Linked DNA regions of Coturnix japonica. Each later gene encodes a partner of the first gene's protein in a complex. Links are inferred from orthologs where the notes say so. Each region holds a gene or a part of one and is shown in the gene's direction. Other genes may lie near its edges.

What was found.
Region 2: the proteins of BBS7 (region 1) and ARL6 are in contact, whole or in part, in a cryo-EM structure (PDB 6VBV), measured with the Bos taurus proteins. The link is inferred for Coturnix japonica from reciprocal best matches to the Homo sapiens genes BBS7 and ARL6. Residues at the interface, in NP_001178275.2 of Bos taurus: Leu3, Ile249, Val250, Gly251, Asp300, Gly301, Tyr302, Asp303, Thr319, Glu320, Pro321, His323, Lys324, Glu325, Ser326, Gly327, Pro328; in NP_001069250.1 of Bos taurus: Met132, Asp133, Arg135, Thr139, Ser140, Val141, Ser144, Trp157, His158, Ile159, Cys160, Ala161, Asp163, Lys166.

Annotation. Positions count from the first base shown.
Region 1 is NC_029519.1:48,260,877-48,264,528, forward strand, and holds part of BBS7 (Bardet-Biedl syndrome 7 protein), read left to right. Parts: intron 1-1,517; coding exon 1,518-1,634; intron 1,635-2,750; coding exon 2,751-2,881; intron 2,882-3,603; coding exon 3,604-3,652.
Region 2 is NC_029516.1:81,828,526-81,832,177, forward strand, and holds part of ARL6 (ADP-ribosylation factor-like protein 6), read left to right. Parts: intron 1-2,761; coding exon 2,762-2,891; intron 2,892-2,896; exon of another isoform or gene 2,897-3,239; intron 3,240-3,652. UniProt on the Homo sapiens protein: Involved in membrane protein trafficking at the base of the ciliary organelle. Mediates recruitment onto plasma membrane of the BBSome complex which would constitute a coat complex required for sorting of specific membrane proteins to the primary cilia.

The DNA of each region.
Region 1 (3,652 bases):
ATCAAAAGCCTGTTGGTAGTAACAGAAATCACAAATATGAAATTTCTGTTTTCATGCAGAAAATCTGTTACTGAGACATAGTTGCAGCATGAAGTAAGAGTGAAAGGCTGGTAGGATTTCAGGTGAAAGCTGGGGAGAAGGAACCATGGGAGTTTAGGTTGGGATGCTGGTAAGATTGCTGTGGAGATTTCAGAGTAGGGATTATTAGCTTCGTTTTTAAACTCCTTTGGATTTTTGTTTGTCTGCATATTGAGGTGTTATTTGTAAACATACAATACATACACGTATAATAGATAATAGTCTCGTGCGGGTTGAAAGGGACCTTAGAGATCATTGAGTCTAACACCTGGGATTTGAGCCTCTGTGTAGCAGAGCAGCACTTCTACCACTTGTGCCACAGGGGGGATTCGAACCCGGGCCCCGGTGTTGCAACGTGGCACTTCTACCACTGCGCCACCAGGGCACACATATGTGCTTGACTGTTTTAGTTCTAAACAATATTTACGTTGCATGAAAGCCTCTTACAGTGGTGGTGAGTTGTAAGGTGATCTTGTTGTGTAAATGGGAGCTGGACTGTTGGGGGTGTCTCGTTCAGGCACTGGGTTGGGTTTCTCTTACATCTGGATTTCTGTAAGTAGAATCACTGCTTCCTTCCATCCATAGATTGATGAGAATTGTGTAGAGCTCACATAAACTAAGGCTGTGAAAGGATCAATCTTAAAATAGTTTGATCTTCCTTTTCGCTAATCTCTTCTACCCTGATACAAATCCCTTTAGTGTGTTAATCTGGTGCTTAATTTAGTTTCTGTTAGATTATTTGTCAGTGTTCAGGTCTAGATTCAAGAAACAGTTCTTACTTGCTTTAGGTGCAGTACAACACTCACAATTAGATGTGTGTTCTGAATAAATAATATAAATGGTTTCTTCTGTAAAGCACATTAAATAGCCCATATTTCCTAAATTCAGGAAAAGTTTGTAAGCAGAACTCCAGAGCGAGGAAGCATTTGTTTTAAAGTGTGTCCTATTACGTGACCTCATTGCAGCCTTTCAATACCTGAAGGGAACTTACTCCCAGGAGGGGAGTAAACTCTTTGAAAGGGCTGACAATAGCAGGACACAGGGAAATGGTTTTAAGTTGAAAGAGGGAAGATTTAGGTTGGATGTTAGGGGGAAGTTCTTCACTAGGAGAGTGGTTAGGCCCTGGAACAGGCTGCCCAGGGAGGCTGTGGATGCCCCGTCCTTGGAGGTGTTCAAGACCAGGTTGGACGGGGCCCTGGACAACCTGATCTAGTAAATGTGTATGTTTGGTGGCCCTGCCAGGCAGGGGGGTTGGAACTACATGATCCTTGAGGTCCCTTCCAACCCGGGTCATTCTGTGATTCTGTGTGTGATTCTGTGACACTAATGGTAGGATTTCCTTTTTCCCCTGATGGGATGAATATTTTCAAACCTTTTCAATAGGTGCGTTTTTATGATTCTAAACTTTTGATTTGTTTTTATTTTTTAATTTTTTGTAGGTGATTCTGGAGAAGAAATTGTGTATGGAACTTCTGATGGTAAACTGGGGCTTATCCAGATTACTGGTTCTGCTTCTGTACCTAAGTGGGAAATTGAAAATGAAAAAAGGAGAGGAGGTTTGTGTCTCAGCATCTCCCTCTTTAGTTTTTAAGCACAGCTGAGGCTTTGTTACAATATAATCATCAAGAAATACGTTTCATAGATATTTAGGAGATGTATTTTAATATTGTCAATATGTGATATTAATGTGTTAATTATCTTCCATTCTTACAAGTAATTCTTGTCTGTTTGCCAAGTATCTTGTTTCCTGTACTTTAGTATGTTTTCATACTTACAGTACAATGTTAAAGTGCCATTTGTAAAACAGTTTCGTTGTGCATGATCACTTGGGATTTTTATCATGTTGGTGACTTTTAAAATGTAAATATACGTGCTAGATTTTTTCAGATATGCAGTGACCTGAAAGTCCCCTCAGATTAAAGACTGGCATCTTCACTGCAAGACAAAAATAACAACAACAACAACAAAAGCAGGGCAAGGATTTTTTTCTAAAGATGGAATAATGCTCTCCTTAAGGCTCCATAATATGGTGTAACTTGTTTGGGCATAGTACAATACTTTTCCCTGTTATAGCCTTGGTATGCTGTTTCTGCAGCGTGTTAGTACTTATTTTTGTGTAAAGGAGAAGAATAGTGATATATGTGGTTTTTTTTCTAAGCTTTCACGAGGTAATTAGATCTATTACTTAACTCTTCAGTTAAAAATCTTCTTGGTATGGCTAAACTTCGAATATGAAATATGAATGGGTTCTTTTGCTTCCTTCTTCCACACCGTAACTCTGTGTCCATTCTAGCCATGGTTAGCTGTTACAATACATCTTAGCATGTTGTGTAGCAGCACAAACCTAACACGGGTCTGGTGCAAATCAGGACCCTGTGTCTGCCCCATCAGCTGGAATTCACAGCAGTCCATTTGGCTTTCTGTCGGCTATAGGAGACAAAATGTGCTCGCTTCTTCAGCTGGTAGAGCTGATCAGACAAACAGCGTGGGAAAAAAATGTGGACGTTAGTCACAGAGAAGAGACTTCAGCCCTCTAGTGGACTCTTCCAGAAATAGCATCAATAAAAAAAGCCCAGCAAGAATCTCTTTCTATGTAATTTAATGTGGCCTTCATATTAATGCGTTGTAAACAACCAAAGATGAAGCAGACAGTTTTTTTTCTTTTTCATTAGGTATCTTATGCATTGATAGTTTTGACATTCTGAGAGATGGAGTTAAAGAGTTACTTGTTGGGCGAGATGATGGAGTGCTGGAAGTCTATAGCTTTGAGAGTGCAGATGATCCTGTCCTTCGGTATGATTATGTAAGCTCACATCCAGTGTCTTCTTTCTTGCTGGAAAGATGAATTTAAAAACTCTGTACTTCAAAATATCAAGTATTCACAAGATTGGTTAGAGCTAAAATATATTTGTTGTTTTTAGTTTTCTATGCTCTATAATGCTGACAACACAAACGTCAAAGTGGTATCTATGTACTTAAGAACCAGTTATTGCAGTGGTCTTGATTAGAGCAAAAAATAGTGCAGAGAGCTATTAGGCTTCTCCTGGGTGAAACCTAATACTGTGCTTCTCAGCAAAAAGAAAGCAAGACAAAAAACCTACCTCCACATTGTGTGCGGTTTGTTTTGCATGTAAAATATTAAGTGTAGCTGTTATGACTTTAACAACTCACAGGCCAAGTAATTCTGCTCAGTAAAGATGTGGATTTGATCCATAGAGTTAATTTCATCCTTCAGACAGACTGTAAATCTTGCTGGAAAAGTGTTTTCCTTTAATGTTTTCCTTTAAACCACTTTCTACTGTCTGTATTAAGCAGAGTTAATTCAGAATGCATTGTTTAAAGCATCTTGCTTTAGCTGTGGTAATCAGCTAGCTCACTCTTGTGGATCTAGATATTTTGAATCCATGTTGATATTTTGTGATGTAGGTAAAACTCCCCCCCAAAAACAAACAAACAAAAAAACCCACCAGGTATTTAAAACAAGCGCAGTAATATTTCCCTCTGCTTGAATGTATTTATTTGAAGGTTTTATCAGAGAGCATTTCATCAATCCAAGGTGGCTGTGTAGGAAAAG
Region 2 (3,652 bases), on another chromosome or scaffold:
TATTTAGCTAGTAGAGCCTTAACTTGTGGATTTACTTTGCTGACACTAAGAAAGGAGAAGCTGGCTTCTGTATTTCTAACCAGGGATAGTGATATGTGGTAGGAACAATTGTATTGTTACAGTTTTTTTCCACGCAGACTGCATCTGATACATGAATGGATCAGCAAAGATGTGGTAGCTAACTGTGTGTGAACTGTCTGAGCTCAATTTGTTTCACATTCAGCAGTATGGGTTACTTCAAATGCATGCACAGAAATGGCAGCCTTGCAGAGTTCAGGGGGAGGGTAGAGGTGAACCAAGGGCTGAAGGTGGATTACCTATGGATTAAGGAATTTTGTAACAAAGCAGGTATTAACCACATTGGTAAAAAGGTGATTCTGTAGATAAAATGGAAACCATGCAAAACTAAGGATGAGAGGTCAAGACTACTATAGTGTGTTGTGAAAATATTAAGGCTGGGGAGATGCAAGCTTAGGTGTTTTGTTTATGAATTAGCAGGTTTCTAACACTGATCTCACATGTCAGAACTGTTCAGTTTTTGATAAATTTCGTGTCTTCTAGTTTTGAAAGGTCATGGCTGTGGCTACCTAGAATATTCCCTGGAACCTAGAACAGATGGTTCAGTGTTTTTTGCCTTGGAGCAGCTTAGGTCAAGTGCAGTAGCAGTGTTCTTGTTTTATTGTTTTGGATTTTAATAGACCTTCAGAGAAGCAAAGCATGTAATGTTCGGTAAAAGTGTTTTTTAACTGAATCAACCTACAGCTGTTTTACTACAGTAATCATAGAATGGAAGTGTTGGAAGGGGCCTTTAAGATGATCTCATTTCACTCCCCCTACCGTGGGTAGGGATGCCTCCCACTAGACCAGGTTGCTCAAAGCCACATCCAGCCTGGATGCTTCCAGGGAGGGGGCATTTGCAACTTCTCTGGGCAACCTGTTCCAGTGTCTCACCACCCTCACGGTAAAGATCTTCCTAATATATAGTCTAAATCTACCCTCTTCCAGTTTAAAGCCATTTGTTCTATTCTTCCTCTGCATACCTTACTTATTGCTCTTCTTTGCTTCAGCCTCTGCAAACCTTGGTTCAAATAAATGTACTTTTTTTTTTTTTTTTTTTTTTTTTTTTTTTTTTTTAAGGTTTAAATGCATACTGGTTAACAACCTTGTGTAGATTCCAATCCCTGAAAATTTTAGGCAGTCCTTTAGTGTAGTAGGAAGTTCCATCTCTTTTTGCCTGGTTTAGTCTGAAGTGGTCAAGTGAAAGGGAATGTGTAATGTGAAGTGTTAACGATGTTAGAAGTTGTACTACCTGGGACTGTTTCAAGGATAAGAGCCATTTCTTTTTTAGTTGTAGAGGGTACTGTCCACAAACACATAACATCTTGTTTAATGACCATTGTTGCATTATTTTGTTTATCAAATTTGACCATTTTGCATAATCGCAGTCTTTAGATTACCTGTTTAGATGTTGACTCTTGGGTCACTTGCCCTCCAACACATGCTTCTTTATAAAGAATATTGAATGTATAGAAATTTCATGTTATTTCAAAGTTGCCCATCACACATCTGTGGTGTTTGAGTTTTCTTAATGTGTTAGCTCATAACTGTTTGCAACAAGAAAATGTTAGCTTTCCATTAATAGCAAAAGTTGGAGGAGAGGAAGGAGGCGAGAACATGGCATAGTTGGAAATAATGTAATAAGGTAGGAAAAATGTAAATACCTGTGGCTATCAGTTTATTTAGCAGATACCTAGGGAATGGGGGTAGGTGTCTGCCATCTTCCCTCACGAGGTCAGCTCACTTACGTTTAAAGCTCCAAATAAATCCTTCACTTGTTTCCTGTGTGAAGCATCCTTTTCCTTATACTGTTCTAAGAAATAGTGTTGTTTTTTTGTTTTTTTTTTTTAAAGATCTTTTCCTATCAAGAATTCATTGACTTAACTCTGCATTTTTGATAACCCTGCTGGATTGATAATCCTTGGTTGATTTATTTATTAATAATGTGAAAAATTCTTAGCAATGATAGAAGTAATTTATTTATTTATTTATTTATTTTCTATTTTGTTCTCTTTAACCTGACATATGTATACTTCATTTCCTTGTGATGGCTCTTTTACCTTTTGTGGTAATCAGAGAGGCTTATGCTTTTGCATGCACGAGTATGCTAGAGATTGGCATTGTACCAAGGTCATTGGTTTGCTCTGTGGTTCCCATTGCTGACTGAGGCAAGCTTCTGGAAGTGAAGCCTTAGTTCAAGTGAAAGTAGGACAAGAGGTGTCTGGACATGCATATTTTTTCCTGCTTCATGGTTTTTTTGAAGAAAGCCAAGGATGCTCTCCAAGATGTTATAAGATAACACAGACTAATTGTATGATTCTGCTTTTGGGATGATATGAATGAATGCGAATCATTTTTTAAACATCCGTTTTACATATCCAGTCTTCACTAAGCAGAGATGTGTAGTATTTTTAGGGAGCTGTTTGAAATCCTGCTCTTCTTCACCAGCAAATTATAGATACAGCTTTATATAAGGTAGGGGGACAGGTGGGTGGAAGATCCCAAAGCTTCCCAGAAAGTTTGTGGGCATTCTTGAAGCATGCATCAGAGGCCAAGTGATGCAACAGCAAGCATCTTGGTAGGATACAATCTTCAAAGAGTTGCATTTACAGGTGAGCAAAGTATCTTTTATTATTTGCAGTTTCATGCTTGCAGAGATAGTGTTGCATATTATCATAGTAGTTCTGCTTCTACTCACTCCTAGATATTAAGCACCGTCGAATGCCTATTCTTTTCTTTGCTAACAAGATGGACCTCAGGGATGCAATATCATCTGTGAAAGTATCTCAGTTATTATCATTAGAAAACATCAAAGACAAGCCTTGGCATATCTGGTAAATTTTCTTTCTTCCTCTTTTTTTGGTGTTAATTTGTACATTCATATTCTAGCACTCTCATGCCACTCATTATGTAATACAAACTAAATAAGCCAGATAAAATGCTGTGCTGCTATATGTGGAAGGAGTAGAAACATTACAATACTCGCTGTGAAATTTATTTTAAACACACAGTGCTTTCATGTAGACCATGACTTGAAAATTTTCGCAAGAGATCTGTTAGCCAAATATTGAAACAGAAAACTTAACCAAGCTCAAAATGCCCTTATCAGAAGAGTAGCTGCAACTGTTTTTGCTGGAAAGTAGAACTGTTGTCTCTCCTTTCTGGGAGGATATAAAGATTTCCTATAGAAAAAAAAAAAAAAAATAAAAAAATTGTATTCACACAGGAGGGGAGAGGGAAAAAAAGAAGTGTTTCTTAATTGCTTTATAGGCATTAGATTTTTGTTTTACTGAAGTTCTCAGGTATTATGAATTAAAAGTAAAATCAGCAGCGAAGTGAAGCTTAGAAATAAAATGTTCATTTACGCCCTTTACTATTAAATTTTATTTCCCTGGGTGTTTTATTATGGTCCCAGCTTTACACTGATGGATTCTCAAGCTACTTGAAAAATAATTTTATAGATAACCACAATAACAGCAGAGATTTGCTACTGTGCTACATTTCTTAAGTTGCGGAATAAGGAGCCTTAGGCTGTTGCACTCTTTTAGATTCTCACTGTTCTCATGGCAGCTTGACTTTCTTTATATATAGACAG